Coturnix japonica: one gene and its partner. Each later gene encodes a partner of the first gene's protein in a complex. Links are inferred from orthologs where the notes say so. Each region holds a gene or a part of one and is shown on either strand. Other genes may lie near its edges. The genes, in order: NRXN1 and LRRTM2.

Region 1 (4,282 bases):
TGTATGTGGCACACCTACTGGTTTATTTTCATGGGGTGAGGAAGACTTGCAATGGTTTCTTAGAAGGCTTTTTGAAAATTCCAAACTGCATTTTTCTCTGCCACCTGGTTTCTTTGGTGGCTGATATTCTCTGTTCTGGCAAGGAAAATCCAATTCAAGCCGGCTCTGATGCTGACATTATTCACAATGCAGATCAGTTAATCCCAGGTGTTAGTCCTCTGAAATGGGCTGCAGTATTTTACGTATGTTTACTCAGACACACTTATTTAAAAGGACACTCCTCATTTTAAAATTAATACATATGCCATAGTTCATTCCCTTGCTTTAAAGCAGTCTCTGCATTCAAACCACTTCAGCAGAGAGGCTCCCCTCTCTTTTCTTCCTCCAAGCCGCGCAGTGTTTTCTAGGAGAAGTGTGCAAGCAGAGATCTGATGGAGGAGAGGATCTCCGACACCTCCCTCCCCTCAGCCAGCAGCACTCAGGCAGAACAGCACGGCCAGAGCTGCCAACCACCTTGCCGGGTGCTGGGTGCTGCGTGTGGGTATGCGTCTGCTGCGGGGAGAGGGGGCAGGGATGTGCCTGCCGGGGCAAAACCTGCACACACCTCGGCTGCCTGCACCTGACACATTCCAAGCCGCTAAGTCACCTCCTACTCTCTCTTTATATTTAATTTCATTCCTCTAAATGTCAACACGTTTATTTTTATTATTTGTCACATGCCAGGCGGGCAAGAGCAGCGAAAGGGAAGCAAGAAGAATCCCTAGAGGTTAGAAGAACTCCCAAACCCATCTGGCAGAGGCCAGCCGTGCTCAATCACCACCGGGCACTGCAGGGCATCGGCGTGCCCCATGGTTTTCCCCTTCTGATACCGCTGCCAGCAGTTTTCCGGCAGCCCCCCACCCCCAAAAAACGCGGTGCCCATTAGAGCTCGTCGAGGGAAGCAGGCAACCCCGGCCCCCAGCGGGAGCGTTTGGGGCATATCGGCGCCGTCGGGAGAGCTGCCGGCGGCGGGCAGGCACCGCTTCAGCACCACGAACAGCTCCGCCCTGCGCGGCCCGACGGGGCGGCGGCTCCGCGGCTGCCGCCTGCGCCCGGGGCTCCCCGCATTGGTGGGGGACGGGGGGGCTGAACGCGAGTGGGAGCACCAGGGATGCCCCGGGGGACGGGAGGGTAGTGCGACCGTACGGTGGAGGGAGGGAGAGACCAAGAGGGTGCGGCGAGAGAAAGGGATCGGCTGGCTGTCCGTGTGCCGAGGGGGGGAGGGGCGGGGCGGGGGACCGCAGGTGGGCGCGTGGCCCAAGGGTGAGGGATGAGTGGGGAGGGAACGCGCGGGTGTTCAGGGAAAGCAGTAGCTTGCAGGTGCCGCGAGGCAGGAGCGAGCGCGCCCGCGTGCACGGGTGCGTGAGAGCGCGTGTGTGTGTGTCTGTGTGTGGGGGGGTGCGAGCGCGCCGCCGAGCGTGCAGAGCGATCCCTACAGGTGTCCGCGGAGAGCATCCGAGTGGGGATCCCTCCAGGAGAGCCGCCCCGCCGCCGGCTGCGGTGCCGCCCGGCCCCCGCCCGCGGTGCGGCAGCGAGAGGGGAAAAGGGAGAAAGAAATGAATGACAGCGATAATGAAAGAAAATAAAGGGAGAGGGTGAAGGCAGAAAGATGGAAAGATTGAAGAGGATAGAAGGAAGACCCGAGGAAATAAATAATAATAATAAAGCCACAATTGCTTATTTATCACTACCGATATCCATACAGTCAGTACACAACACGGTCTCGCCATCTCCAAAGCAGAAGGACACTGTCATTTCCAAGAGGGGACGATTTGGTCATGTAACATACCTCAACCGGGGTCTCAACTGCCAGCCGATTCCCCTCCCCTCCCGCCTCCCCCCCGGCACTGTATGTGTGCGCACATGCATGTAGTGAGAAATATACACAAAGCAGCACTAACGGAGCAGCGCCTTCAGCGCCTCACCAGTGCATCAATATCCTTCCCCCACCTCTCCATAACCCTATATATATATATATATATATATATTATTATTATTTTTTCCTTTAAAAACGATGATTTGATCCCAGGTACCCCGATGGAGCCTTTCCAAACGGGCGAGAGGGAGCACCCCGAGGTCAATAAATCTCGGGCTAACGGCAGGTCGCGGCACGCACCGCCCCGGCACGATCTTCATTGTGCCCAGCGCTCGGCATTGTCTCCGGAGCGGGGAAGCCCGGAGAGTTCGCAAATTACCGTTTGAAAAGAAAGGAGCTGGAAAACAACCTTGCTGCAGCCAAAGGGGGAAGCGCTCCGATTCAAAAGCAGACTTAGCGGCATCATTAATCTTTTCCCTCCGTTTCTACGTAATTTCTAGAATCAAATTCTTTCCTAGGCGGCCGCAATGATCGATTTTGCTACCTCTCCAGCCTGCAGACGTATTTATTTTAATACGCTTGTGATAGAATTTCTCCTCCTTCAAAAATGCACACCATCAGCAGGAACCCGCGCGGTTCCGAACGCACCAAGGCAGCCGCCTGCCCTCTTTCTTCTCCCTCACAATAGCAAATGTCCCAAATTGCCCATGCACTTCCTGCACAAGCCCCTCGCCCATCCCAGCCCGCCGCCAGCACACAGCGATCCCATGGCGATACGCATCCCCATCGCTTCGCGATGCACCCGAGCAGCTCCCGCGAGGGAAAACATGCAGCACATTGATTCATCCCTCCGCTCACACGGATACAACCCCCCACCCGCTTTGGCACGGGAGGAATAGCCGCATCCAACCTTTAACTTCTCCCTCCGCTCCTCCATCTCTGCTCCCCGCCATCTACCTTCCCACAACGCCGCATGCGAACCCACCAGCCTCTCGCGCCTCCTTCTCCTCTTCCTCCTCCTTCCGCAGCGGCACAGCGGGGCTCGTCCTCCCCGGCACCGCTCTGCCCGCACCGCGGACACGCCTTACCTGCGCGGGGTGCCGCGGGCCGGGGCAGGCGCGGCCGGAGCTGCCTCTGCCGCTCGCCGACGGAGCGGGCGCTGCTGCGGGTGCGCGGCGGCGGCAGCGGGCGGGGGCGGCCGCCGGGAGCGGGGGGCGGTGCCGCCGCGTGACGCCGCCGCGCCCGTCTGCCCGCCGGGGGCGGTGCCGCGCTCGCTGCAGACCCCGGCCCGCCCCGCCCCGGGCCCGCCGCGCCCCGAGGCTCTGCACTGCAGCGGGCACGGCCCGGAGAGGTGCGCGCCGCCGAGGACGAAGCGTTGACTTGGTGCTCTCCCATCTGCTTCGCTGGCTGGGGCATCTCTGCCGGCTCCATCCCCGCCACTCCGCTGCTTTGCGTGGGGTGTGCTGCTTGGTTGGATGGTTCTAGAGCCGAAGCTTTCTGGTGTATGCGTTGGCCTGTGGGATAATACAGGTGATGACTTCTAACTGAAGGATACCTTCCGGGCCACACGGGGAGTCTGTTGGAAAGTCTGGGTTCTGTCTGGCATTGTGTTAAACCTGTTTGAATGTATGTTGTTGCCCAGTGCTCACAAACTGTTGAGAAAAATTTAGGGACTCTTGAGATGGTTGGGTTGAGCCACCTGGAAGGCACTGTGTCATATCAAACACATCCAGTTGTGTCCAGATGGTGGCCTGCAGTCTTTGTACTCAATGGCCAGGAGAAGGGTGCTGGCTGGGAGCTGCCTGTACCCCAGCCAAGGTTCTTACAACTCTTCGGACTCCGGAATGATGCTGTCACACTCAAGGAATCACAAGAGCACCCCCAGCATCCCTTTCTATTAAGGTGTGTGCAGCCATACTTTTTGTTTTCCAAGCTGAAAACAACACATAGTGATTTAGTTTTGAGCTGAAAACTACAGAACTGTGGTAAAAAGCCCTCGCTCTCCCAGCTCAGTCGCAGAGGAGTTAGCCTTATGATCTTCTTTAATGAATCAGGCATCCTCACAGATAATAAGTTTGGTGAAATAACCAAGCAACAAGAATAAAAGCTTGCTAGACATGCTACATATCTTCAGTACGTGTAGCATCATCAAACTTCCTTTTTATTCAGCCAGATGATACCCATATCCAGTTATTTTCAAATAAAGAGTGAGATTTTCTCTTGACAATTCTAATAACTTGACCTGTGCAAACAGAACAAGGAGCAAATCTCTCTCCTGCTATGAAAAGAATATAAATTATAGGCTTCAGCAATAACAAAAAGGGAAACACTTTTTTACAGGAGCAAAATTGCAAACTGATAAAAATTAGTACTCATGATATACATTTTATGTGGGGGAAAAAAAAAAACCAAAACAATACTATTTCC
Region 2 (4,534 bases), on another chromosome or scaffold:
AACAGGAAAGTCACTGGCAAGGTGCTAAATAGCCCTTGTTTGGTTACAGGCCAGAGAACCAAGAGCTTCAGCAAAGCAGCAGCTCACCGTGTGCGAGCAGCAACTCCCAACTCCGTGCCAGATTACGCAACCTTCACGTGGGAGGAACCTACCAACAGGCATGGATGCGAAAAAGCAGAAGCCTTCCAAAAGGTACCCAAATTTGGCCACTCGGTAATAGTGCAAAGAGTGGCACAGCAGGGAACTAATTTTTCATCTCGGAGCTTTTTCAATTTTCTTAAATGACACCTTAGGAACATTCCTTAAAAGACTGTGTTATCATATTTATGCGCTATTAACATTCAGATCAGCGCTGGGGTCAGGACAGTGCACCAGATGAGTGCTGAGCAGCACAGCTACAGGCACGTCGCTGCTGTACTCCCCCAAGGCAACGGGCGGCTCAGGCTGGATTTCGGCTGCGTTCTTCCTGCACAGTGAATATTAACTATGGAGAAACTCTCGGAATAGGTCCGTGTCATTTCTTTACATGTGTTCCTTTCAGCCTGGAGCAAATGCTGAAATATTTACCGTGACAGAACAATTTAACACATTCACCTAGCACTGCCCCGTTTATCATTAAAAATAGTTAGGTTACTTATTTTTCTGTTCAGCTTTTGCCTTCCTTTGTGCTTTGTGTTCCCTCCATTTTACTTAACACCTCCCCTGTTGGGACAGCCACGGGTTGAGCACTGCAGCCAGGGACACAGCTCAAGTGTAGAACAAAGGAAGGAAAGCAGGGAGAAACCAGCAAGGCTGAGCTTAAATAAGGAACCAAAGTTTAATAATGAAGCTAAATGACCACGGACTTCTCAGAACCTCCTCTGGCACAATCCATCTCCATCCCTGTCAGCATGGGGAATTTGCTATTCTCAGCTCAGCTCCGTCCCGAGGTCATCACTGACACCTCCCTGCCACAGGGCAAACATCACCGAGCACCTCGTGCTGTGCGTCTCAAGGTGACAACAAAGTCCCACGGGAGAGTCTGCTCTGGACAGTGAGAGCCGCGATGTCCCAGCCTGCAGCCCAGGACCAGGCTGTGGCCCTGCAGGGCTGCTGGCACTACAGCACAGCTCAGGACTGTGCATGCTGGATGCAGCTCCTGCCATCACCATGGGTCCCAGCCCCTGTTCAAGGACTGTGAGCTGCAGGGAACCCCAGCTGTAAACGCAACCGGCTCTTCTGTATGCAGCAATAAGCGACACAAAAGCCAGGGTATAAAAAAAACAAAATTAAGATGGATTTCCTTGTTTCATAACTGCACGCTGTCAAGCAAGATTCCAATTAATTTTTTTTTTTCCTGTGCTTTAACGTAAGCTTTGCTTTCTCCCGACATTTCCCAGCACTCCAAACACATTTCTCACTGCAGGGACTCTGGGGCGCACTGCCGTCCCAAAAAGCACTGCCCTGCACTGCCCTGTGCTCCGCAGGGACCTCCAGCCGCCCCTCCTCCCTGCACAGTGCTGCTAATCAGCGCCCTCAGTCCAAGTGGGGCACACTTCACAGCCCTGAGCATCCCCAGTGCAGCCAGGCTGGACAGGCAGCCGGCAGCATTGAGGCTCCAGCTGCAGCTCTGTGCTGCCCTCAGTGCCAGCCCAACGCAGCCAGCAGGAATGCAGGGGGGGAGCGGGGCGGCGCGCGGCTCTCCTGCTCCTCACATCGCCGGGACGAAGGGCTCCGACAGTTGATTTTTTTCCCCCTCCTCAATCAGTGGTCTCAAACGCGACCACAGTATGCAGCACAATGCTTTAAAACAGCAAAGCTTCTGGAAAACCCAAACAAAAGGAACGTCACCGGGTGACGTCAGCCTATATACAGCCCTGCACGGTCGCAGCGCATAAGCAAACCCATTCTTGTGCCGCTTCCCTGAAAAGCTTTTCAGTAAATGCACTCATGCTACTCCAGGAGCTTCTCTCAGCAATAAGCCACCCATCTGCCATCAACAAGTTAGGACTAAAGGAACCCACAGCTGCGGAAAAAGAAAACGTGAGCTTCAATTAAACAGCCGAGCAGCCGCCGAGGAAGAAAACTTCTATTAAGCATCGACTTACAAACTGCAGCCCTGTCGGAGGAGATCACGCCGGCGCTTCCAAAAGGGATATTCTAAGCAAGCACGGTGGATTCAATTTTGCACTAATATCAAAGGACCCTAACGCGGTAAATTATTCACAGGCTGTCTCGCATTAGAGCCTTTCACAGACTCACCGTGTTGAGTCTCAAACTACGACTGAATGCAACCTCCAATGTACTCAAAAGAATGGGTAAGTGTGTGCCTTTCTCTCTCCCTTGTCTGATGAATGATGGCTGTGTGTGAAGGCAGCGGCGAGGTGCTTCAGCCCGCTTCGCTGGGGTGAGCCTTGCGAGAGGAATGTGTTCTGATTGTGACGCTGTAACCCTCCGTAATGCCGATAAAGACTCGTCCTAAGTGTAATAGCCGGTATTCTGTGTGTAGTACTAAGTTGTTTCTTGCATTTAGAATAAGCTTTTCGGAAATGCATGGAAATGTTATCTGCAGTGAAATCTTCCACCGTGATGTTCAAAGTATACTGATAAGGATATCCTATCTTGTTGTTTTCCTAAATTATATTCTGCAGGCTTACATTTCAAGTGGCCATTAGGGGCTCGTATGCTGGCAGCACTATATGCAATGAGCATGGTTTTAAAAATGCTGCCTGCCTTGGGCATGGCTTGTCCACCAAAATGTCGCTGTGAGAAGCTACTGTTTTACTGTGACTCTCAGGGGTTTCACTCAGTGCCAAACACCACTGAAAAGGGCTCTCTAGGTTTGTCACTGAGGCACAATTTTATTACTGAACTTGAAAGGGATCAATTTGCGAGCTTCAGTCAACTTACTTGGCTTCACTTAGATCATAATCAAATTGCAACAGTCAGAGAAGATTCTTTTCAAGGACTGTATAAACTTAAGGAATTAGTCTTAAGTTCCAACAAAATCTTTCATTTGCCCAACACCACTTTTAGCCAGCTGCTTAACCTGCAGAATTTGGACCTCTCTTTTAATCAGTTGTCCTCTCTGCACCCCGAGCTGCTCTACGGCCTCCGCAAGCTGCAGACCTTGCATCTGCGCTCCAACTCCCTGCGGACGATCCCCGTCCGCCTGTTCTGGGACTGCCGTAGCCTGGAGTTCCTGGATCTGAGCACAAACCGCTTGCGAAGTTTGGCTCGCAACGGCTTTGCGGGATTAATCAAGCTGAGGGAGCTGCACCTAGAGCACAACCAGCTGACAAAGATTAATTTTGCTCATTTCCTCCGGCTCAGCAGCCTGCACACGCTCTTCTTGCAGTGGAACAAAATTAGCAACTTGACGTGTGGGATGGAGTGGACCTGGGGCACCTTAGAAAAGCTCGATTTGACTGGAAACGAGATCAAAGCCATCGACCTAACAGTTTTTGAAACTATGCCTAACCTTAAAACCCTCCTCCTGGATAACAACAAGCTCAGCACGCTGGACTCCAAGATCCTGCGCTCGCTGCCATCACTCAGCACCGTGGGGCTCTCGGGCAATCTGTGGGAATGCAGCGCCCGGATCTGTGCGCTGGCCGCCTGGCTGGGCGCCTTCCGGGGCCGCTGGGAGCACCCCATCCTCTGCCACGGCCCCGACCACGCCCAGGGAGAGGACATCCTGGACGCCGTGCACGGCTTCCAGCTCTGCTGGAACGCATCCACTGCCGCCCCGTCCGCGGCGCCGACGGACGCTCCCACCACCGAGTACACGAAAGGAATCAGCTCCTCTCATTTCCATATGGGAGACAAAGAAATCCCCACCACGGCAGGCATGGTCGTCACCACCGAGGAACCCTTCCCGGAGCCAAACAATGCCATCTTCACTCAAAGGGTAATTACAGGGACAATGGCTTTATTGTTTTCTTTCTTTTTTATCATTTTTATAGTGTTCATCTCCAGGAAATGCTGCCCTCCCACATTAAGAAGAATTAGGCAGTGCTCAATGATTCAAAACCACAGGCAGCTCCGATCCCAAACGCGGCTACATATGGCAAACATGTCAGACCAAGGACCGTACAACGAGTACGAACCCACCCACGAAGGACCCTTCATCATCATTAACGGCTACGGACAATGCAAGTGTCAGCAGCTGCCATATAAAGAATGTGAAGTATAATACCTACAATTAAAGCAGATAAGTAACCTATTTTAAAATGGTAGGGGACCTACAGCAGAGTCTAATTTTTACAGATGCCGACACAAAGCCTAATTTTCCAAGCTACTCAATGGAAGAATCGTTTCTGGAGTGGTGTGGTATTTTTAAGTTGTTTTTTTTTTAAATAAATCCATGATATTTTCAGTGTTAAGGAAGCAATGATCACGTTCAACTTGCACTCCTAATGTTTAAAAGTCTAAAAAGATGCTCACCTCAAACTATGTAAAACGTTCTGTGTTATGTAACTCTCCGGCTGTGTGTACCATTTATACCCAAGTCTCCACTCTCCACTTTCCCCAGTAAAATCAGCCCGGGTGGAAG

The links.
Region 2: the proteins of NRXN1 (region 1) and LRRTM2 are in contact, whole or in part, in a crystal structure (PDB 5Z8Y), measured with the Homo sapiens proteins. The link is inferred for Coturnix japonica from reciprocal best matches to the Homo sapiens genes NRXN1 and LRRTM2. Residues at the interface, in NP_001317021.1 of Homo sapiens: Leu139, Val158, Thr160, Arg236, Gln237, Leu238, Thr239, Ile240, Asn242; in NP_056379.1 of Homo sapiens: Asp343, His344, Gln346, Gly347, Glu348, Leu351, Asp352, Ala353, Gly356, Phe357.

What each region holds. Positions count from the first base shown.
Region 1 is NC_029518.1:8,251,481-8,255,762, reverse strand, and holds the start of NRXN1 (neurexin-1), read right to left. Parts: upstream 3,036-4,282; 5' UTR 2,944-3,035; exon of another isoform or gene 2,841-2,943; intron 2,783-2,840; exon of another isoform or gene 2,766-2,782; intron 1-2,765.
Region 2 is NC_029528.1:14,092,086-14,096,619, reverse strand, and holds the start of LRRTM2 (leucine-rich repeat transmembrane neuronal protein 2), read left to right. Parts: upstream 1-1,554; 5' UTR 1,555-2,267; coding exon of another isoform or gene 2,268-2,293; coding exon 2,294-2,297; intron 2,298-2,630; coding exon 2,631-4,174; 3' UTR 4,175-4,534. UniProt on the Homo sapiens protein: Involved in the development and maintenance of excitatory synapses in the vertebrate nervous system. Regulates surface expression of AMPA receptors and instructs the development of functional glutamate release sites.